Alligator mississippiensis: one gene and its partner. Each later gene encodes a partner of the first gene's protein in a complex. Links are inferred from orthologs where the notes say so. Each region holds a gene or a part of one and is shown on either strand. Other genes may lie near its edges. The genes, in order: CNNM2 and PTP4A1.

The links.
Region 2: the proteins of CNNM2 (region 1) and PTP4A1 are in contact, whole or in part, in a crystal structure (PDB 5MMZ), measured with the Mus musculus proteins. The link is inferred for Alligator mississippiensis from reciprocal best matches to the Homo sapiens genes CNNM2 and PTP4A1. Residues at the interface, in NP_291047.2 of Mus musculus: Phe526, Asp528, Val551, Asn553, Glu556, Gly557, Asp558, Pro559, Phe560, Tyr561; in NP_035330.1 of Mus musculus: Asp72, Gly73, Ala74, Gly107, Leu108, Gly109, Arg110, Arg137, Arg138, Gly139, Ala140, Phe141, Asn142, Lys144, Gln145.

The regions. Positions count from the first base shown.
Region 1 is NC_081829.1:99,035,775-99,047,632, forward strand, and holds the start of CNNM2 (metal transporter CNNM2), read right to left. Parts: upstream 4,925-11,858; 5' UTR 4,809-4,924; coding exon 3,257-4,808; intron 1-3,256.
Region 2 is NC_081824.1:54,210,560-54,222,828, reverse strand, and holds the start of PTP4A1 (protein tyrosine phosphatase type IVA 1), read right to left. Parts: upstream 5,164-12,269; 5' UTR 5,162-5,163; coding exon 5,057-5,161; intron 699-5,056; coding exon 606-698; intron 1-605. Other genes in the region: uncharacterized LOC128125822 homolog, read right to left, coding at 5,512-5,607. UniProt on the Homo sapiens protein: Protein tyrosine phosphatase which stimulates progression from G1 into S phase during mitosis. May play a role in the development and maintenance of differentiating epithelial tissues.

The DNA of each region.
Region 1 (11,858 bases):
TACAGCAACGAAGTGTTTTTAGAGGAGAGTTATTGCCATCTGTGAGACCTACCTTCCTGTTGGAGAGCATGGTGGGGGAGGGAGGGGGGGGGGACTTCCTGCAGCACATCTCCGTATAACACCTTTCTCCTTGTGCACCGAAAGCTATAAATTGGATCCCTCTGACCTAAAACCTAGCGTGTGCAGGCTGCATGCAAGGGGATCCGACAGCGCCGGTGGTTATTCAAGGTCTTGTTGACAGGGCTAAAAACTGCTCCACTTTCACAAGCTTTTAAAAACAGTCCTTGAAGGGAGGAGCTTGCCTTCCACATACCGCTTGGTAAGGAAGCTCTGTTTGTACTGTAGGCGATTAAAGGACAGTCTAGGGGCACTGCAGTCCCCTTGGTTTGATTTCTGTGCCATTAGGCAGCTTTCTTTGTTGCCGTTTTTAATGACAGTCCAACTCCCACAGATTGATGAAAAACCCGCCATCACCTCCTGCCCCACTGCACGGACCAGAGGGCAGACGGAGCACGAAGTCATCCGCTCTTCTTCCGACACAACCCAGGCTCGCATCGCCTACTGGGGCTGATCAGTTTAACCTTTTCGTCGACATTTCCATTCCACGTTCAGCTTAGGCACAAGCACTTCCCATATCAGAAGTGAGCTTTAAAACCCGGCCTGCTGGGCTAACATTTTCCATAGAAGACACGCCATTCTTTAATGGTTTTAACACTCGGTGTGTGGAAGCACTGCGACACGGTGAGGAATTGTGTTCCTCACCCTGGGGGAATGGAGACCTAGGCTTATTCCTGGTCATCGTTATGCTAGCCACCAGGATACAGTTAAATCGTACCGGCCTGGGGAAACCGTCTCGTGGGAATTTCACAAGGTCACCCTGGGAGAGGATTCCTCAAGGAGTCTAAGGGACTCTTGCAAAACCCGCTGTGCTATGCCAGGCCGGGCCAGTTATCAGTGATTTATGCTAGTTTCAAAGGACGCAAAGGAAGCAGTTTATCTCCAACCTATCTGCACTTCTTAAAGGACACCGGTGCAGGACAGAGCTGGTGCTTCAGGGCAGCTCTTCTCCAATGGCCATTTCAAGCAAGAGATCTCTGCTAACCTATCGGCTTGTCTACGCAGAGCCATCTGCCAAGACAGCTCTCCGGGAAGCCATCCGGTGCCGTTCAGCCAGTTTACCTTCCCCCACGTGGATGCTACTCCAGATTGGAGCGCTTGCACAGGGCAATCGTTCTGGAATAGCTATGCTGGCCAGCTTCCCTGGACAGACAACTCCTCGTATCATACAACAGCAAAACAACCTCTGGTCTGCTCTCCAGGTTACAGAGCAGATTCACAAGCTTCCCGAATCACAGCGAGCAACGTCGGGCTCAAACGTGCCAGTGCAATTCCAATTCCCAATAACCAACCTGGCTTGCAGCAGCCTGGAGTGGGACTACACCTCCTCAGCAAGAGAGGCTGAGCATTCATCACCATTTTCACTCCTCTATGACTGCTCACACCAACAGCCCTACCCGTACAGCGAGAGGACCAGATGCCCCGAGTGAAGGTAGCTAAAGAAGACTGAGAAGCCTTCTAGGAAATAATGCCACTGCCAAGGACAAAGGGAAATCAATATTATAAAACCTATCTAGTCAAAGCTAAACAGTAGGTCATCCACTTTCCTGGAGCTCACAAAAACTTGTGGCCACACTGGCAATAAAACCATCAGAAGACAACCTTGGGTTTCAGCCTCTCTTCCCATTTCCACAGCTCCGAAATGGGGTAGGAAGTAGGCTGTAAGGTTTCCAATCGCTGTATCAGGTAGACAAGGTTAACATGCTTACTTTCCCAACCAAAACAGCACAATCCTTTTTATCAATCAAGATGAGGTTCAGAACTTGAAGCCTTCAAGTGCCTTGAACCACAGAAACACCGTTAAATTAGTAGTGGGTCAACCAGAGAGAGCCCTTCAAAGCCTAGCGTGCAGATCAAACACAGCCTACAAATTTTATTGCACAGAAGAACTCTTGAGTGCAGTTTACAAAGTTCACCCGAGTGTCAGAGTTACCTTGAGAAAAGGTTAACTCAAATACTCCCCATTTACCTGGCTGTGGTGTTAATACAATGGTAAAGATCTCCTCCTTCAGGAAGGCTCTCACGGGGACTGAACTTTTCTACAGTACTTTGAACGAGGACATGATAAACTTCCCCCACCGCAGACTACTCCGAGTCTCCCAGCACGGGACCCCACAAAATGGGCAAGGTTGGAGCATCTTCCCACCCCTTGCATACAACCCCTTGAAAAGGTTTCCCTGCGTGCTGCAGCTGAAAGAGAGGAACAGGTTTTAGAGTTATTGAACGATTGCTTGCAACAATAAAAAACGCACAATGAGAAGTTAAGAGGCGTCTACCAGGAGACCCTCCCACCCTTCCCCTTACGCCCCAACCAAGGAAAAACTGAAAAGCCCCAGGCTAACCATCACAAAAACCACAGTCCAGTTTTGGTTAGGCAACAAAGCGCATGCTACTCCACACAGCAGGGAGTGCACAGATACAGAAAAAACCATATCGACATGTGGCTCAGCTTGTGGTTGCCAGGGCAAAAACGAGAGGAGAGGGGAAGGTCTGTAACGCCGGCACGTGTAATTAGCAAATCAGTTAGAAGTGAACTGTAAGGCCCATGGTTAAGGAGGAGGGAGAAAAAAAAAGCCCCAAAGCTATTCACGAGCTACAGATCTGAAGCATCAATGAGGACAGCCGCGAACTGCACACAAGCATGCACCAGGCAGAGCGAGCCCGGCTGCACTGGTGACGGGAATTCAAAAGCCTTGTTGATCTCAGCACGTGCATGTGCGCGAGCAAACGGCCTGCAAGACGCTCGTGACCTATATCACCCACCCGCCCCTCTTCCGACATACGACCAGCCTACAGGGCTGGAGATGCCACCACGGAGGGTGCAGACCCATGGCAGTACCTGCCGGCGGATGAATACAGATACACAAAAAAACATTCAGCCAAAAAAGACTGCATTCACACACATGCACCCCCGGCTTGACAGGAAACAGACACATGCCATCACCAGGTGCACACATCAGGCGACAGACAGGTGCTTATCTCCAAATTGCTCCACTTCTACTTCCAGTGGAGACGGCAGAGTGAAAGAGCTCCCCAAAAAAGGTAGCAGCCCTCTTTTCTTAGGCCAGCTCGGCCACACATTGTAACCGGGCCGCCCCTCATGCCCCCCGCCCCTCCGATGCACGGCGGCGGTCCCCACCTTTCTTGAACTCCTCCAGCATGGCATCGAGCTTAGTGTCGTTGAAGACAAAGTGCAGCGGGTGGTTGTAGAAGCGGGTGATGGTTTTGAGCGGGGTGCAGTCGTCAGGGTCCACGAAGGCCAGGTCCTTGACAAAGAGCAGGTCCACGATGTTGGAGCGGTCACCCTCGAAGACGGGGATGCGGGTGTAGCCGCTCTCCATGATCTCCGACATGGTGTTGAAGTCCAGCACGGCCTCGGCGGCGATCATGAAGCAGTCCCGCAGGGGCGTCATCACGTCCTCCACCGTCTTGGTGCGCAGCTCCAGCGCCCCTTGGATGATGTTGAGCTCCTCCTTCACCAGGTCGTTGTAGGGGTCGGTGACCCGCAGCATCTCCAGCAGCTTCTCCCGGTTGTAGACCGTGCCGATCTCCTGGCCCAGCACGCAGTCCAGCAGCTTGCTGACCGGGTAGGAGGCCGGGAAGGTCATCATCATGAAGAACTTGGTGAGGAAAATGGTGTTGGCGCCCACGGCTAAGCCGTGCCGCGAGCAGATGGCCTGCGGCACGATCTCGCCGAAGATGACGATGCCGATGGTGGACACCACCACGGCCACCAGCCCCGAGCCGGCGATGTCGTCCAGCAGGATGGTGAGGGTGGTGTTGACCAGCACATTGCCCAGCAGCAGCGAGCACAGCAGGTAGTTGCCCTGGCGCCGCACGGGCTCGATGCGCTTGGCGTAGTTCTTCTCCTTGTCCGTGCCGCAGTTCTGCACGATGCGCAGCTCCATGGGGTCCAGCGCCATGAGCCCCAGGTTGAGCCCGCTGAACATGCCCGAGAGGCACAGCAGCAGCGAGATGAAGATCACCTGCAGCCAGAAGGGCAGCAGGAACTTCTTCTCCTCGCCCACGATCATCTTAGTGTCCTCGCCGTCGTGGTAGATCCACGTCGTCTCCGTCCAGCCCGGCCCCTCGGCGGCGCCCAGCGCGCCGGGCGGCGCCGCCACCGAGGTGCACAGGTAGTACGACTTGCTCTTCTCCGTCTTGCGCAGGGGCTTGATCTCGATCTCGATGATGCCCGACGTGCGGCGGGTCTGCAGGATGCGCGGCAGGATGATGATGTCCGACGTGCGGATGCCGCAGCGCTGCGGGGCCGGGGGGCCGCCGGCGGCACCGCCACCGCCGTCGCTCCCGCTGCCGCCACCCGGCCCCGGGCCGGCCCCCGGCGCCGCCGCGCCGCGGTGCCGCCGCTCGTGCTCGGTGAAGGCGATGCGCGACCACGTCTCGTTGTTGATGTTCTGCCCGTAGACCCGCAGCTTCACCCGCGTGCGCTCGCTCACGCGCAGCGCGCCGCCCTCCATGAACGACACGTCGTCCGTGTCCTCCAGCCGCAGCCCGATGATCACCGTCTCCTCAGGGCCGGCGGCGCTGGCGGCGGGGGAGGCCAGGGCGCCGGGCGCGAGCTGCTCGCCCAGGCAGTGCCCGCCCAGCAGCAGCAGCGGCAGCAGCGGGAGCGGCAGCGGCAGCGGCAGCAGCGCCCCCCGGCCGCCCCCCGCCCTGCGGCCCGGCGCCATCTTGACTCCGGGCTCAGCCCCGCCGCGGCCGGGCGTCGCGGGGCGGCTGCTGCGGCTGCGGCGGCCGCTGCGGCATCCTCGCTCGGGCCCCCTCCCCCCGCGCGGCGCGGCGCTGCAGCTCCTGCCCGCCCGCCCGCCCGCCTGCGGCCGCTGACGGGCGCCGACTGCCGGGCCCCGCGCGCCGCCCAGCCCACCCCGACGCCGGGGGGCGGAGCCGCCGCCGCAAGCCGCCAATGGCCGCAAGCCGGCCCCGCCCCCGCCGCGCGTGACTCCGCGTGTGGGGCCGCAGGCGGCGCAGCCAATGGCCGCGCCGCGCTGGCGGCGGGAGGGCGGGGCCGGCCAATGGCTGACGGGGGACAAGGCCGGGGGCGGGGGGGGGGGGGAAGGGGGCGGTGCTGCGCTCCGGGAAGGAGCCGCGGCTCCACCTGGCGGCCGCGCTCGGGGCGCGCTCGGGGGGCGGGCCCGCGGGAAGCCCCGCCCCCACCCCTCCCAGCCGAAAGGCGACTTTTTTCTTTTCATGTTTTTTTGCAAAAATAGTTTTTTATCTACAGAGAAACACGGCTGTGCGGGCGAGTCCCACAGCTTTCAGCACACCGGCGTCAGCAGCTGGAGAACAATTTTTAAGCAACCTTTATATATATATACACACACACACACACACACACACACACACGTACGTGTGTGTGTGTGTGTATATATATGTGTGTGTGTATGTGTGTATATATATGTGTGTGTGTGTGTGTGTATATATATATATATATATATATATATATATATATAAAGGTTGCTTAAAAATTGTTTTCCAACTATTGAAGTTGGTCTAATATATGGATATATATGGATATATATATACACATATATGTGTATATATGTATATATACGCATGTATATACACACATGTGTGTGTATAGATGTATGCATGTATTGAAATATATGTTTAAATGTATTGAAATACATGCTTAAATATTTACACTTAAATATATTTAAAGATACACTTTAAGCATGCATTTGCATGCTCAACTATGGACTTTAACATATTCAAATGTGCACTTGGGTATTTAAAGCTATGTGCCTATTGGAATAGTTCGCATATGTTGAGGTGTACGTATATATATATATATATATATATATATATTTACGTCCGCACGTAAGTATGTTTCTGGTGAAGTGCGAGTTATTTCCTCCAAGCGCTGCTGGCGAGAGGGAAGTTAAGCAGGAAATCCTGAATTTGCGCTGGCGCTCGGTCCCTGGATGCAGCGTCGGCTTGAATCGAGTAGATCATAGGAAACGTTATTTTCCGAGGACACTGGCTACACGTGACTGCCTGGGTAACATCCAGCCGTGCGTTGTTTCCAGGGGCTGAGGTTTAACATTTGTTCTGGCAGCAGATGAGACTTCAGATGCCGCCTGCGTTGCCGACGTGCCCTGGCAGAGGGCCAGGCGCGGGAGCTTGCACCGAAGCCGTTCACTTTGGGGGCAGATCAGCTCCAGTCCAAACCCCAATGCGGTGGGCTCATCTCCTGTCCCAGCCTCCCCCTCGGTGTCTTAGACTCAGAGAAAACGAGGCTGGAAGGGAGTTCAGGAGGTCACATCTCGTCCAACCCCTGCTCAGAGCAGGACCAGCTCCGACTACAGCATCCCAGACAAGTCTACCCAGGTCTTCAACACCTCCAAGGTTGGAGACGCCACCACCTCTCTGGGTAACCTGTTCCAGTGCTTCACCACCCTCCTAGTAAGAAAGTTTTTCCTAATATCCAACCTCAACTTCCCTTGCTGCAGCCTGAGCCCATTGCTCCTTGTCCTGTATCTGCCCCCACTGAGACCAGCCCAGCTCCATCCTCTTTGCAGCCCCCCTGCAGGGAGGTGAAGGCTGCTATTCGATCCCCCTCGGTCTTCTCTATCCCCCATGTCATTGCTCATCACTGCTCTCCCGTCAGGACAGCTGCCCTACAACTCATTCAAACTGTCAGATAACTTCTCATCCTTTGCTCCACTGAAGGGGTTTTGCTGTTCAAGACCCCTCTGTGGTTTGAACAGCAGGGAAAACACAGATGACGGGACGTCCAAAGCCGTATAGAGGGGGATGGAGGCTTAAGGGAGGCCGTGGCAATGAGCCGCACGGGAGCAGTTTGCTTTGCAGTCCTGGAGCCACCTATTGCATTGCCCGGCCTTGCCGTTGCGCCTGGCTCCAGAGGAGCGAGGCTCTCATGGTACCAGCGCTCCTCTCCTCTTGCTAAGCAGCGCCAGCTCCGTGAGCAAACGATGCAGCGACAAGGGGGTCGGAAGGCTTACTTTGCGAGGGGCGTACAGAGCCGCAGGGAAAGACTCTGCTGGAGTACGGAGCACCAATGTCCAGCGGCAGAAACAGGAAAGGTTGCGTTTGGGAGCCAGCCATCTCTCAGGGATGAGTTTCTTCCGAGAAGCAGCCCTCCCTGGCCGTCATGATTGACTTTGCAGCTCTATTACAAACCTAGCAGGGCCCGCGTGTGCGTGTCATGACAATGAGGCGATTAAAAATTAACCTCCGGGCTCCCGACTGCTGCGGCCCCCTCCCCTCCCTGCTGCGCGCGCGGCCCCCCGCACCCAACATGACATTTCTTTGCCTATTGCGCTCCTGCGGGCCGAGCGTTTAATATTGATGAGAGCCGCTCCTCTGATGGAGGCTAGTTAGCGCAGGGCCCAGGCTTCAGCTGCCCAGGGTCCCTCCCTCGTCAAATTAGGCCGGGAGTTATATGCCAAGAATTACCATCAATGGGACGAGCTCTTTGTATCTCCCACTAGGGAACACTCGGAGCCTCCTCGTGCTCTCTGCTGGGGTCACTCTGCATGCAGTCATAGCTAGTCTGCAGAAGAGACTGGGGGGGATTTGAGAGCAGCCTTTAATGACCGGAAGGGTGATTACAAAGAGGATGGAGCTGGGCTGCTCTCGGGGCGGGAGGCAGATGGCAGGACAAGGAGCAATGGGCTCAAGCTGCAGCAAGGGAAGATGAGGTTGGATATTAGGAAAATCTCACGAGGAGGGTGGTGAAGCACTGGGACAAGCTACCCAGAGAGGTGGTGCACTCTCCATCCTTGGAGGTTTTGAAGACCCAGCTAGACAAAGCCCTGGCTGGGATGATGCAGTTGGGGCCGGTCCTGCTTGGAGCAGGGGTTGGACTAGATGTGACCTCCTGAGCTCCCTTCCACCCTCATTGTCTGGAAATGGTAGAAGCATTGCCCGCAGATGGAGGGCAGTGATGCTTCCCTCTATTCAGCACCGGGGAGGCCACATCTGGAGTCCTGTATCCAGCTGTGGCCCCCACGACAGAAAGGATGTGGACACGTTGGAAAGAGTCCAGTGGAGGACAGTGAAAATGGTTGTGGGCTGAGGGACAGGACTGGTGAGGAGAGGCTGAGGGAACTGGGCTGATTGAGTCTGCAGAAGAGAAGACCGAGGGGGATTGACTAGCAGCCTTCACCTCCCTGCAGGGGGGCTGCAAAGAGGACGGAGCTGGGCTGGTCTCAGTGCAGGTGCCAGAACAAGGAGCAACGGTCTCTGGTTGCAGCAAGGGAAGTTAAGTTTTGATATTAGGAAAAACTTTCCCATGAGGAGGGCGGTGAAGCACTGAAACAGGCTCCCCAGAGCAGTGGTGCAGTCTCCATCCTTGGAGGTGTTTAAGACCCAGGTAGACAAAGCCTTGGCTGGGATGATGCAGTTGGGGCCGGTCCTGCTTGGAGCAGGGGTTGGACTAGGTGTGATCTCCTGAGCTCCCTCCCACCCTCATTTTCAATGATGCTATGAAAATACTTTTAGGCCCTGATTCAGGAGAGCCTTTAAAAGCATGTGCTAAACCCACTGAAGATGCTCCTGTTTCCTGAGAGCAGTACATTTTGCAATTCCCCCTGCGGAGGAGGTAAGTGTCGTTATCTCCATTTAAAAAAAAAAGAGGCACAGAAAGCTTAAATAACTTAACCGCGATGCCACAGCAAGTCTGCAGCACCCCGAATCGCTCCAGCCTGCTGGCTACTCCCGTATCTCTGAATTAGACGAGCAGCGCCCCAAGCACCCGGCGCCCTGGGAAGGGGGTGAATGGTGCCGGGGCGCTTTGAGGAGCACAGCTACGGCACCTCCTAAGAGAGAAGCTGAGCGGCCAGGTTTGCTTTCTGGGTAACGATCTCGTGACAGTTTCTGAGATGTGCAGCAGGCTCGTGGCCCCAAAGAGCTCCAACCGGAGAGCCGTCACCTCCATTCCCAGCGGAGGAGCCGCTAGCGCAATGCCGGAGGTGACAATGCAAGACGGATAAAGTCCTGTTAGCACTTCCTCTCCGTTCTCCCGAAAATGCAAAGAGCCCGTGGAAACAAAGTCATGCAAATTCGCTGGCATTTAGCAGTGGCCTTTTCACGTATGCATGCTGGGATGGGGGACCACCCCCGGCTGGAGCTGCTGGGGCATCTGAAAGGCTCGGGCAGGGTTTCATGGCTTTTTAATGAAGTGGCTCACAGGTGGGGAAAAGCTTAAATCCGCTCTTTCATTCGCACCCTGAAGATCTCCTTTGATAAGAAGAACTAATTGCAGTAGATGTGCCAGGATAGGGTGCCGGCATTTGAGCAAGTCCTTGCGAATAACAGCAGGAGGGGGATACGACTGGGGCGTCTGTTTGCAGGGGAGGAGAAGGGGAATCTTAGGCCCCGAGCCTTGATCTTGTTATCGGATGCATCTTCTGATGCATGTGCCCTAGCTAGACAGCAGCTGAGACCAGCTCACGCTGGCACCCAGTGCGACCTACCTCCATTCCCCCTCTGACAGCCCCAGGCCCTTCAGCCTCCCAACATCGTGAACGGGGGGACCTGCACGCCAACAGGCAATCATCCGCCAGCTTGCCCCTGGCTCTGCAGCCTGACTCCAGCTCCATCGCCTCTCCGGCCCAGATGCCTGGGGCTGGCACATGCTGCACTCAGAGGCCCACGCTCTCTACTCTGTCTCCAGACACCGAAGCAAGTCGGGAAAGTCTCCCGTTATCCCCTGGGCGTCCAAACCTGCCTGCCCCACACGCACGGACAGGGGCAGCAAGCCAGCAACGCGCTACCCCTTCCGCTCACCCCATCGGACGGAGACAGCGTGAAATCCTCTCCTCCCAAGGCACCGCACCTCAAGTTTCCTTCCAGCTCTAGCTCAGTTCAACCCAGCTGAGCTGAGGAGCTCTGGCAGGGCAAAGCACGTTGTAAGCGCTTCGGTGCGACGTCCTCCACTACTTGATCCACGTGCACGTGGGAACTGTGCTGGCCCCAAACAAAATAGGTCCCTGGGCTTGATCAAAAGCATGGGAAAAAGCTTTATTGCAACAGCGAGAACTCGGTACAAGCAGGAACAGCACGGAGTCGTCCCACCCTCCCCGTGCCCCGCTGGGACCTTGCTGCAGCTGTGGCTGGGGTGTGTCTTGCTTGGCTATGCACAGAGAGCAAGGCCCCGAGCCCAGGTCCCGGAGGCGCCCAGGGACTAACTGCTGCCTCTCACATACAGTCAAGGGCTCTGGTTCACATCAGCACCATGCCCCATAGCTTGTGTTTAAGGGGATGGCTACACAAACAGCGTATCCCCAGGTACGCAGGAGGCAAGGAGTTTCTGCACATCATCTGGGCTAAGCAGCCATGGTTTGGCTTCCACGTACGGCAGGTAAGACGGTGCACGCAGGCAGGCGCTACGGGACAGCCTGCAGCGAAAGCCTTGCTCCATTTGGCCTGTGGCGAACTGTTGGTGTGCCCCGTGCGTTCCCTCGATTTGGGACCGTGTTTGGTAGGGAACGATAATACCCCATCCGCATCCTTCACCAAGAGACAGGCCCAGCTTCCGACCTCCCTCGCTGCCCTGGTAATCAGGGATACATTCATTTTGGCAGGGGATTTCTCCCCTCTTCCTCGTCCTCACTCTCTTCACCGACTCGGTTCCCCCGCTGCGCTCGGACAAGCCGCTGTAACCGCAGGATCCCAGGACAGGACTGGGATCACTTAGTGCGTTTGCTGGATGTATTCAATGAACCTTGGAAACTGGAGGGAAGCTTTGACTCTTGAGTCCCTTCCCTCCGAATTAGCCCGCTATAAGCCCCTTCTAATTAGGGGTACCATCAGCATCCTTCGAAAGGATGGAGCGACAGAGGGTAGCATGCAGGGCAGCGGGCTGAAGCCGCAGCAAAGCGGCTTGAAAACCCGATCTCAGGAAAACCCTTCCCAGTCGTCAGTGCAGTAGGACAGGCACCGAGTCGCCGGAGGGAGCTGTGGACTCGCCTTTGCTGGAGGTTTGCAGCAGAGGCTGGGTGGGCGTCTGTCCGAGAGGGTTGGACTGCAGGACCCTGAGATCCTAGAAGCACAGACAACGAGGGAGGAAGGGACCCCAGGAGGTCACATCCAGCCCAGCCTGGTTAGGAAGGCTGGCAAGCCCCAGCCCTCCGCTCTCGCTATCTTTTGTAAGCCCCTGTGCGCAGCGATCCTGCCCCCTCTCAGCCCTCTCTAGCCAAGCCAGATGAATCCCTTAACACGCCAGACACCGTCAGTATTCCCGCGTGAAGAAGCGGGGGCAATGCCCCAGCAGCAAACCCCATAAAGCTGGGCACAGAGGTGAGGGCACTTCCGATAGTCCCATTTCTTGTCCCTTTGAGGATCGCGTATGAGCCAGGAGCAGGTGGGGCCGGACCTGCTCAGGAATATCCCTCGCCGAGTGCTGGGGATGTGGGGCGGGCAGACCCTTGGCACACCCTCCCCAATGCTTTGCCTTGCATCAGGCTGTTTTACACCACTTCAGTGCACCGTGGCCTTTAACCAGAGAAACCCAAGGATACAATAACCAGTCGCCTTTCTCGGCTGGACGGGTAATCCTGGCGGGACCTGGACAACGGGTTCATCTGACAGACCTGCTTTCCTGCAAACCCTGTTGACTGCCGTGGCTTGCATTTTTAGTCTCTGTGTTAAAAGAGCCCCAGATCCGCTTGGGAGGGCCGGGGAGGCGGAATCTGTCCCTTCGCTTTGTCCTTGCTTGCTTTCTGTTGCTTTGCAGAACAGAAATCTCCACTTCCACC
Region 2 (12,269 bases), on another chromosome or scaffold:
AGAAGAATCACTTCTATTCCAATAAGAGGGAACTTCTACTGCCATAAGATTTGTCTCAAAATCATTAGGCCAAGTTTAGCCCCTAGATAAAGTAACATTTCCATTAATAAGCTTTCCCTATCAAAGTGGAAACGCAGGGTTTCAGAGCAAAGAGGTTAGATAAGCCTTGAATTTCCAATATGAAAACAAGTTTTCAGAGGTAAAGCTGCTCAACACAAAGGTTACCTGTTCACAGTACAAGTAAAACTAATGATAAGAACTGTAAGCACCTGCACAGGTAAAACAACTTTAGTGGTGGGAAAATCTAGAAGAATTTTCTTATTGAAGACTGCAGATGGCTATAAAATCTTTGTTACAAGGATGCTCAGGATACAAGTATTGTATGCAAGAATACTGGATTTCAAGATAATAAACTAAAGAACTGGAAAGTGATATTTCAATTGCTTAGGTTCCATTTTTTCTCCAAAATAACATTCATTTAGAAACATCTAGGACAAATGCATTAGAAATTCAGACAAATTGAGACCTTACCAAAGACATTATGAGCTACTAAATGCTACATAATGCTATAAAGAACTTCCAAGCAAATTTTTCAGATCACTCACCAAAACTTGAATGCCTTCTTTTTCCACTGGAGCTGTGTCATAAGTGGCTTCACATACTCTCACCACTGTGGTAACTCCATACTTCTTAAGTTCCTGAGGAGGAAAAAGACATTTTTTTCTACATTCCCCTGACTTTTACCATTTGGCTTTCCCAGCAGGACACACCTAAGTACTTCCTACACTTTAGCTTACTAATAGGTTTCAAAGTTTCAGTAAGGTTCCCTCCAACCCAGACAACAGTCTTCCAACTAGTAAGCAATGTTTTTATGAATGCAGCTGCTATGCTGATTTCAAGCATACACCGAAATAACATCAAAAGCCTTCAATATTTCACCTCTAAAAAAGTTTCTTCAAATTAGTGCTCTCTTCCTGGCACTGCTGAAGTCCAAGTACACTGCTAGTGCTGCAAATTCTTTCAATGACCAGATTTAAGTTACAGACCAAGAAGTACCCCTAAAGATGACCTATTCACAGGAATCTGCACTTCTCTCAGTCAGCCTTCAAAGAACAAATTTTAGACAAACAGTAAAAATCAATGTATTGTCATTTTAGCAGCTAATAAGCTTATCCTGTAGTACAGTGGTCTCCAACTTCTTTGGGTAGATCACTTTTTGAATTAAAAAGCAACCCAAGATCTATCCTACACCACCCCACCCCTCAAGGTCAGTCTGTGGGCAGAGATGGAGGGGGCAGATTGAAGCAGAGGGGAAAAAAATTATTTGGGGACTCACCCCACCCAACAGGTAAGTCTGTGGGTGAAAAGGACTGGGGGTGGTGGGGGCAGACTGAGGGCCCAGCAGTGAGGGAGGGAGCAGGGAACAGGCAGAAGTAGGGGCTGGGTGGAGTGGGTCTGGCTGGGCCCAGTGGTAGGGCAAGTGGAGGCCTGGAAGGCACATTGTCCCTCTGGCCTCCGCTTGACCCCCACTTCCCCAGCCCCCGCTCCTACTTGTGCCCTGCTCTCTCCCTCAATCTGCCCTCCACCACAGCGGTGAGTGAGGGAATGAGCAGGGACAAGCCCTGCATAGGCAGGGCAGGTGCAGGATGGAGCCACGAACAGCTTGTATGGAGGCCACAGGGGGCACATGACCCCAGATTTGCACGTGGGCCCGGGCCAAGCCAGGCTCTTCCCAGCATGATTCATTGGTTGTGCGGCGCTTGGGCTGGGTGGCAGCGGTGCTGGCAGTTGCAGCACTGGGAGCAGGCGGTGGGGGGCTACAGCAAATTTTCAGGTGCCTGCAGCCCTGCTCCCAGCGCTGCCACTGCCCGGCTCAAGAGCTGTGCAACTGAAGAGCTGTACCAGGAAGAGCCTGGCACTGCCCTGGGTCCAGCCCGCTTTGCCCCGTGTGTAGATCTGGGGGCATACGCCCCCCATGCCTTGCCAGGCTGCATGCCTCCCCTCCCTGAGCCCCCTGGACAAGCCGCTTGTGGCTCTGTCCTGCGTGTGCCCCAGTTGTGCAGGGCCTTCCCCCTGCCTCATTCCCTCTTTCACTGCTGCGAATGCCACCCCTCCCTACTCTTGCTGCAGCCACTAGAATCCTGCAGCCGGGCTGCCTTGCAGCCCTACTGCTACCCTGCACTGGAGGAATGGGAGCTAAGCCCTGTTAGCCACCCCTTTCCTCCACCTATACGCACCATGTCCCCTGCCACAGGGTGAATGAGGCCCTGGCTGGTCCAGGGGAGGATCAAAGCCTGGGTAGCTTGTCCAAACACATGGGGAGGGCTCCTGCTGATGCATGCACCCCAGCGGAGGCCCGGGAAGCACAAAGATTTTGGGGCTCAATCCCCAAGAGGTAAACTATCAGCATTTGGCATAATGTTGATAGGGACCTTTAAGCATGACTCTAAAAAGAGCACAACAAACTGTATTTTAGCAAAAGAAAATGGTCATCTACTTTTTTGTACCTTTCAAAGAGCCTCCTGCCAAAATAGTTTACTTGATCATCAAGTTAGCAGGATTTTTCACTGAATACTTCCAAATTACTACAAGGATCTTAACATTGTTGTGTTTATTTATTCCGTGTGGCACGTTAGGAGCTATGCTAAATCACATTTTTTCCCCTGGAAGTGTAATGGAAATAGAGATGTAATGCATCACTGCCATTATGATTCTGTAAGTATTTTTACTTTTAAAAATACCCTAAAGCATTTTGGAACAGACAAGCTGCATACATTACTAGCCTGTGCAATTATATAACATGGTATAATTGCCCAGTTTACTGCTGGTCACGTCTTATATTTGTGTTCTGCAAATAAGGCAAGCTTAACATTTAGGCTCTTATCAGGACAGGGATCTTGAGCACCACTCACTACAAAAATGAAACTCAAGAAAAATCCTAACTAGCCCCCCATAATAGTCAGTGTCTGGAACGGAAGACGAAGGGATGTCTTAGCTTTAATTGAGGGGTGTCAAAGATAAGGCATACAGGTCACATTTGGACCATGCTGTCCCTGCATCTTTTGAGTTAACTCACATCATGTGACATTCCCCAGCTCATTCCAGTGCATAAAGCCCGGGACTCAGGATCTGTTCCATGGCCTATTCTGTCCCTATGCACAGCATAGTACTGGACCAGCCAAGAGCGAGTGCCACATGCATTGGACCTGGCATGTGGGAGGCAGGTCTGTGAGCCCAATCCAGAGACTCATCCAACCCTTTAATTGGTAAAGGGTGTCTTTATTTTTATTCAGAACTTGTTCTTATGATTTTGTGAGGCAAGAGCATAAGAGCTTTATCTACTTATTATGGCACAAGCTAGGCAGGATGGCACTCTCTTTCTCTCTCTATTAGAATACATGAATAGGAACTCTTGGGATCTGGGATTTATATTCTTCAGCCAAAAGCATCCTGTGCAAAGGATCAAAACAAGACTGTCTACATCAGGGGTTAGCAACCTACTGCTTGTGGCAACTCAGGGAATTGGCAGCATTCTGCAGCTAGGGAAGCAGAGGTGTCCCCACAGTCCTACTGGCTGCCTCATTCTGTCCTAAGCATCCACTAATTACCAGACAGAGTTGTAGAGATTTGCAGCCTGTGGCAGGAGCTGGGTTGCAAGCAGTGGCTTGTGACAGCAAGACGATGCTGACTCTTGGCCTATACCAAGCCTGAGTAACACCAGTTCAGCTGAGGCAGCACAAAATACATCGCAAGCTAGATTTACTCTGCTTCAGCACACTATGTGCTACCATGACTAGACTGCTACCAGCACTCAAGCTGGCTAGTTTAAACAATCACTCTACCACACTGCAGTAAGATTGCCTTATTTGCATATCTAAAACCTACTACACAAGTCTGACTCAATCCATAGTAATTATTATTAGTCTTTTGAAGCAAGGCACGAGTGACACACACTGTATGGTGTGTAGTAAAAGTTTCTAACCCCTGGCCATAGCCTGGTACCGGGCCACAAAGGTTTGGCTGCTGGACTGGAAGTCCAGAAGTGACCGGCATACTGCAGATGGGCAGCCAACCTTTTGTTTATTTATACTGAGAATAAAAAAGGGTTGGCTGCTGTTCCGCAGTATGCCGGTCACTTCAGTTTGCTAGTCCACAGTCACTTGCCCTCCATGGTCTAAAAAGGTTGGGAACCACTGCTGTGTAGTGATTCTTTGGGATGTTTTCTTGTTTCCTCTACAAGAGCACAAAGGAAAGCTTCTATGGGAAACCCAAATGTCAAAAGTAGATCTCAGGCCATGTTTACAAGGCTATTCAAAAATGCTACTGCAACAGATTTAGACGCCTCAAAGTTAATTTTGGCTTAAAATGGCTCCAGTACCAAATGTGAACTTGTGCCAAGCCAGATTTCAGCCAGCATGAACGTAGTTGGAGTCCCAGATACGTCTGTGTATGTCACATGAATTCTAAAACTACTGTAGCTCCACTGCTACAGCTGATGGCCAAACTAGCTTTATTTAGACAACTTCTGCATACCTAATAAATACTTGCAGTCACATCTAATTAGTACCAGATAGTCTTAATATATTGCCCTTTCCTCTCCCCATCTTTATGGATTAACGGTAGTAAAAATCAGCTGCTGAAGACATGACAGAACTAAAGAATTGAGCGATCATTAATTAACAAAACCTAATAAATGCAAGTTAACTGTGATCCTGTCAATGTTCTGTTGTTTTAATTAGATTACATATTCTCTTTCTGCCCTGTACCTGTTGATCAGTAATAGTACCGTTATGATCATGCTTATGGTTCATTAAAAAATAAATATACTGATGCAATTTGATAGAGGAATGATTTTCATGAGTACAGTAATTCTGTAAAACATGTCTCACTGCTTGCGAGAATCACTATGACCCAAATCCTGAGTCAACAGGAAGAGCACTTAAGAACTGAATCCCATTAGTAAATATATTATTAAAACACATACTGTTCTAGGTTTTAAAAGCATTGTATTAAATAAAATTAAAAAAAAAAAAAAAGCATTTCGTCCAGACCTTACCTCGATAAATTTGTTTAAGGTTGCATTGGTTGGATTGTGTGTGATAAGGAATCTCATGTTCTTGTAGGTGATTTCCACAGGAGCTGGGCGGTTCATTCGGGCCATATTAATTTAGTTAAAAAACATGCAACAAGATTATGAAAGGATTAAAAAATTCTAATACAGAAATGATGTAGAGAAACTGAAGTCTACTTCACTATACTCCACTTGAAATTCTCAGTGCTTGGAAGTATGAAGTTGGGAGCAATGGGAAATGAAATGAACGTCCTAACAAGAAGCAGCAATTCTTCAATCCAGTAATACTGAGGCAAAAGAAAGGCAGTGCACTGAGGTTTACCCCATCCAGGTCTGAACTCCTTTGTAAAATGCGCTGCCAATTTCAATTCAACACTTCTTATCCTGGTTAATCACTCTTAGGGGGGCTTCTTGGTGGAGTAGTAATGAATTTCTACAGTTCACTTGTCTGCATAGAGGTCGTGCTGTGCCTGGCAGTAGTCTCCACTGCCCTTCAGAAACTCCATAAATGTGTGACCAAGAACACCACAGAACTGCTGTAAAGAAGGGAGAGAAAAAAAAAAAGTTACTTCAGCTACTGTTCCCAAGTATATGTACAACTTAGCTCAAAATATTAACGCTTACTAAAAAGTAAAACGAAAATGCATACAGCGTAGATTTCATAGACTTTAGGGCTGGAAGGGACCTCAAAGATCATCAAGTCCAGCCCCCTGCCGCAGGGGCAGGAAGTCAGCTAGGGCCAAAGGATCCCAGCAAGGTAAGCATCCAAGCATTTCTTGAATGAGTCCAGAGTAGGTGCTTGCACCACTTCTGGAGGGAGTCTATTCCAGGTCTTGGGGGCTCAGATAGTAAAGAATTTTTTTTCTTATGTCCAGTCTAAAACAGTCTTGGAGGAGTTTGAGACTGTTGGTCCTTGTTTTTCCTTGGGGCGCTCAGGTGAACAGACATTCTCCCAGGTCCTGATGCACACCCTTTATGTACTTATACACCCCTTATGTATGTTTACAAATCTAATATAATTTCAGGCAGTGGTCACCAACCAGTCAGCCCCTGACAGTCAAAGCCCCCTCAGACTGAGATCAACTGTCAGAGGCTCTGCAATCGGGAATGGCTGGGACGCAGGAGCGGTAGGATGCACGTGGCTGGGCTGAGCTGTGCCCCCTGCCACCAGGGCCGGGCAACTGGGAAAATACCCCCCACTGCATCTCCTACCACTGGGTGAGTGGGACCCTGGCTGGGCCAGGGGTGGGTTGGAGCCCAGGTGGCTTGTCCAGGCATGCAGGGAAGCTCCCGCCACTGCACGCACCCCAACAGTGGCAGCCTCCCCCCGCCCGCCCCAGCTGAGCCACCCAGGCTCTGACCCTCTCCTGGTCTGGCCAGGGTCCCACTCACCCCTAGCCATGGGGGCCTCGATCTGCTTCCACCCCCCAGACTGACCTACTGGGCAGTGGGGGGGTGAGGGCATGGTAAATCCTAGATTGTCCTTTACTTCAAAGTGATCTTCACCTTAAAAAGGTGGGAGACCACCAATTTAAGGTATCATATTAGAATTTTGTTTTCTGCCTATTCAGACTTTAGTATTTTATTTCCAGGTATCAGTGCTTACTTTTACTCAGAAATGCTATTTTTGTTTTAGCAATACAGGTACTCCTCACTTAACGACCTACCTATTTAACGACCGCGTAGACTTACGACCAGCTCTCCGAGCAGTCAGTACTCCAAGCAGGAGGTTGTTAAGTGAGGAGTACCTGTATTGTGGAAACGGCGCACCGCAGGTTCAGCACCGCTGGGCGGACAGCTCCCGCGCTCGCAGCCCGGCTCCTCGCTTATCAACCAATTCGCTTAACGACCGAGTCGCAGGAACGGAACTCGGTCGTTAAGTGAGGAGTACCTGTACAATATTTTAAGAGTTGCAAGACCAAAATATTTCTAACAGAACTTTTATTCAGCAATTGTAATTTTTTTAAATGTAGCACTTTTCTAGAACTTTTTAGAATCTTAATTCAGTCTCAATTTACTAGAAGAGCATCAGAAAACAATCACTTAGGCTATATTTCTTGAAATTAGTGCAAATTATATTTATTTCATCTCCAATATCTGCAGCATGTTTTAAACACAACTTTCATTCTCTAAGTAGAATTCACACACCTCTGCCTTGCCCTCTAAGCACAGATACTATGACACTTGTTTTCCATACAAGGATCATTTCATGCTCAGAGGGTGTTTTCCTAACCGCTCTAAGTCCATCCTGTTCTGAATGGGTATTTGGAATTCAAGTATACTAAAAACATTAACTGGTAGCAATGTCTTCAAGAAATGGAATAAATTGCTAAAAGGAAAAAATGCCTCTTTAATCTAATTTACTCTAACCTCTTAATTTAAAAAGTAGAATCAATTATTTCTACTTCAAAGACGTGAACAGAGTTAACTAAATTCATCTGCTCAGGAGAGACCTAAAACTGAAACAAGAATTTCACACACTATAATAGATGTACACTGTCAGCATTGTGGGGAATCTTGCACACCACATGCCTGGCTCTAACAAATATTATTAGTCTAGCCACCCACACATTCTTTACTGCCAAGTTATTTTTAATAAAAAGCCTTCTTATTTTAAAGCATATTGATTGTTTAGTAGTGAAAATATGCAACAGGTCTACTGCTTAGGAGATACTCTGGCTTACGTTAATATTCTAGTTCCCATTTAAATTGTTTTGTTGATTCCCCATTTTGTAATTATTCAGGTTTTTGGGGGGGGGGGGGGTTTGGTTTTTTTTTTACTTAAGCCACCTGACCCATATAAAATAAAAACATTATTCCTGCTTACTAGATCTGCTTTATGTTGCAAAAATGAAGGTACTGCACTGTATAGGCATTGCTGGTAAGTCTATCACAAGTTGCTTTGAGGAAATTCTAAGCATTTACATGCAGATACAGATACTTGAGCGATAAGAATAATCATTAAAGAAATCATTATAAACTTGATTTATTGTGATACCTCATGCTACAAGGAGCCATTTTATGCTCAAAATGAACACTGTAACATTCTGAAGTCCCTGTTCTACTTATAGGGAACTATGATCAGGGAAGTGGGTAAACATGCATGCAATGCTAGTCACCTACTATGCAAAGGACTAAAAACATCCTCTGGCAAGGAGACATAGGAAGAGGTCTGCATCAAAGTCCAGGGAGTCTATCCACCTCCACACAGTTGGGCATGAGGTAAAAACAGGGATTTTAGTGTTGCCTTGGATGGTTCTCAAGAGTTTCAAATTACATATTTACAGTTAATATAAAAATGTGAGGTTCCACCCAACTTGAACATAGCTTTATTTCTTGGCCTTCACCCAGTTTCCCTGATGCAACAATGGCCACTGTGACTATGTGGCTGGTCCTTTTAAACAGTAAGAGGAATGCTGCAGATATTGGAGATGAAATAAATATAATTTGCACTAATCTCAAGAAATATAGCCTAAGTGATTGTTTTCTGATGCTCTTCTAGTAAATCAAGACTGAATTAAGATTCTAAAAAGTTCTAGAAAAGTGCTACGTTTAATAAATTACAACTGCTGAATAAAATTAAGTGTTACCACTGTAAAACAAAAAAAAGTCCGTTTTTAGCACCCCTCTTTAGATTTGAGACTATAGCATATGCGAAGAGATAACAGGGAGAAGTTTCACTCCATCTACACCACTTTTCCACAAAATGCGTGTTTTCTCCCAGGAACGCCAGTCTCTGCTTCTGAAGCGACTCACCAACCTTCCTAAAGCATAAACTGACATGATTAGAAGGTTCACTCTTGTGAATAGGATACTGAACAAGTGCAACACCAGTTAGTGTTTTGTCAGTATCACTATCCATTTGCCAGTCAGATACTAAACCCTTATTTGCTAAAACTACTATTTTATTTCCATTAGCAGAGAAGCCTCAGGAGAAAGTATAAAGGTTAGAGGAGTTTGCTCAGAAAGATAACAAATGTATATTGCAGATTGGTAGCTCTGTCTGATCAAAAATGAAGTGACCCCCATCAACATTTTAACCTCCTTGGACATTCTAGCTATGACCTCAGAGTAGTTATTCTCAAGCAAAACTTTAAAAAGCTTGAATGGAAAAAAAAAAAAGTCACTGAACAACAACAAGACACCCACAGACTGGATTGTATTAAGTATAATCTAACCAGAGCAGTCCAACTTCTGGGCAGCTGGGGGGGAGCACCCACTGTAAGGACCCATCTCACATGCAGCAGAAGCAGCTGGCCCCACCATGCATGCAACAACAGCACCCTTGCCCCCTCCTGCTACAGGAGCCAGTGTAAGAAAACAGCAAGATGAAGGTGGGATCACCAAAAGAACTCAGATGCTGCAGCAGGAACAGCAGCAGGGTGGGAGCAACGACAACCATGCAGAGAAGTTTAAGTCCCCAAAGCTGATCCTCTGAGGTCTATCTATATCAGGAGTGTGCAAAATACAGCTTGGGGGCTGGATCTGGCCCACCAGGCCATTCGATCTGGCCCACGGGGCCCCTAAAATTTTTAGAAAATTAATATTTATTTGCTCCTGGCTGCCTGTCAAAGATGACAGGAGCCAGGGGCAGTAGTACCCCGGGAAAGCTGGCAGCAGGACCCAGCAGCATGGCCTGCCCAGCCCCAGCCCCCCAACCAGAAGCCCCTGCCTAGCAGAGGCAGGTGCCTGGGACTGTGGGGCTGTTCCTGCTTCCCTGGACTGGAGAGGGAAATGCAGCCTTCAACATCTTACTAAAACCCAGTAAGCAGCCCTCCGCCTGAAATAACTGCCCGCCCCTGATCTATATGCAGCCCATGGGCTGCCACTAGGGACTTCCCTAATCTAAATCAAAACTACAGGATTCTTATCCCATTACTTGAATTTCTTTAGCCCCTATGTCCCTGGGTTAACTAATTTGTTTTTCCTCTCTCCCATCCACCTCTCCCAACAGTGATCCCTTCTTTTGCCTACCTTCTGTATACTAATCACAGCTGTCTATTCAGAAGCTCTACTTCTTGCAGTCCCTTCATTTCATGAAGTAAGCAGCTACTTAAGAAAGCTTGTAATATCTGATTTAGTCAGTCTATAACAGGCTTGTCCAACATGCGGCCCTCCAAGGTGTTTTCTGAGGCCCGAGGTGCTGCGATGGGAAATGAAAGTAAACACTGTAGTTTCGTTTGGGGGGGGGGGGGGGAAGATGTGATACCGCTTCCTGGGAGGTCTTTGAATATGGTTCGCCAGCCCACTGGGTGATAAAAAGTTCATGATCTGGCCCCACATTCAAAAGGTTGGACACCCCTGGTCTGTAAGGTGTACATCTATCCTGCCTTCTGCAAACTACCTCTTCCCATTCAATACTAACAGATAACCAACAAGTTAAGTGAGAATATGCCACAAAAGACTTTGAGAGTAAGCAGTTAGTTTGCTATTACTGAAAAGGATGATCTAGGGACGCAATGCAAATAAAGGACTGGATTTATTTGAAGTACAAGAGAAACAACAAATTACAAAAGCCTGAGCAATATTCTTGAACTGGATGCAGAGAGATGGAATTTTACTGCAACCTCTTTTTCGCTAGGCTCAGGGATCCAGGTTTTCCATTTCCCATGGAAAAGGGAGTAAACTAGGAGTTTTGTCTTTACATAGATTCATACAATTGAATTCATATGATTTAGCTATATATCCCTCAAGTCAAACTGCATCTGTGAGATGTCCAAGGCAAAATGGATCTACCCGCGTACTCCAGACCTAGACTCACATGCAGGGAGATAACTGTGTTTACATGTGATGGAAAATGGGCTGACAGCAGAGCTTTGTGGGAGTCCCATATAGCTAGAAGAGGGTGTTGAAGATTTTCCTAAGGACATGCTGAGCACCATTAAGCATGTGGGGGAGAATGAGAAGTCATGAGTAGGCTCAACTGTGTCTCAGGCACCCTGCAAGACAAGGAAGATGAGGATGAAGTTCTGGTTCCAAGATTTAGTAGCTAAGCACACTGCTAATGAATTTGGGAACAGGTGTGTGATGTAAAAATAGTAGAAGCTAAACCAGAGGAGTTTTAGGATGGAAACAGAGGAAAGGAACTCAAAGCTGTATTTTATGACAATTGCTTCAAATGATCAGAGAGACTAAAGGGAGAAGAACCAGGAGATTAAAAAAAATCTTGATCCACTTGCCTCTCCAAAAATAAGATTGAGACTAAGGATATTGGTAACACAAATAAAAGAGTTAGAATACAACAAGAGGCAACTATTACCCCATGGAGACTAGGAACTAGGCCTGGATCATTGGTGAAGGGAAGAATGAGAAACTTCTGTACCTGGGGCAGAAGAAAAGAATTTTAGAAAAGGAAAGAAAGGTCAGGTTCTAAGCTTCATTTGGAAAATACTGGAAAAATCCTGTGCAGAAAGAATAGTGGAGGCAGAACTGTACAGTACTAGTTTCCATCTAGCTAAGGATCTTATTTACCACAATTACCTAGATTTCAAGGCAGGTCCTACTGTAGGCAACCAAAAGCCAGGTCTTATATGGAATTGGGGAGGGGTGCAGAGAGGAACAAGGAGCTCTAACTGTAATGGTTATAACAACCATGCAGTCAGCACACTGGCTGAAAAAGGACTCATGGTAGTCGTCACTTGATTTCTGTCTCAGGTTGGACAGGCCACTTGGGGCTTTGGCAGCAAATAACCAGAAACAAGTCCCCCTCGGGGGGCCTTCCTAAATAGCCAACCAGCAACTACAGCACTAAGAATTGTTTTAGTTCTGTGAAGAGCAGTGTTAGGATACAACTAGCCATAAATGAGTTCCACATTTCAGGCAAGGGAATGTTTGAGGGTAGAGCTCACACTTTGGCAGAGAATACAGTTTTGAAGGAATAAGGTGCACCAACCATCTGAAGGAAAACATATCTGAACTCAGGAATAGAATAGCATCCACTATCCCACCAAGGAGACTGCTCCATCTGTGATGGTTCTGGAATCCAAAAGTTTCTATTCTATAACATGGGCATTTCAAGGGCTGACATATGGACTTCCTATTTTCCTTAAAGTTTATTTTGCTCCAGGAGAAAATAGGCTAGTTGAAAGACCGGTTCCAGTTAAAATTTCAAAACCACCTCAAATTGATGTCTTAGATTAGGTCTTACGACCACCTTATGTCTGCAAAATGCATTTTGGCAGGGGGGAGGGGAGGGGGG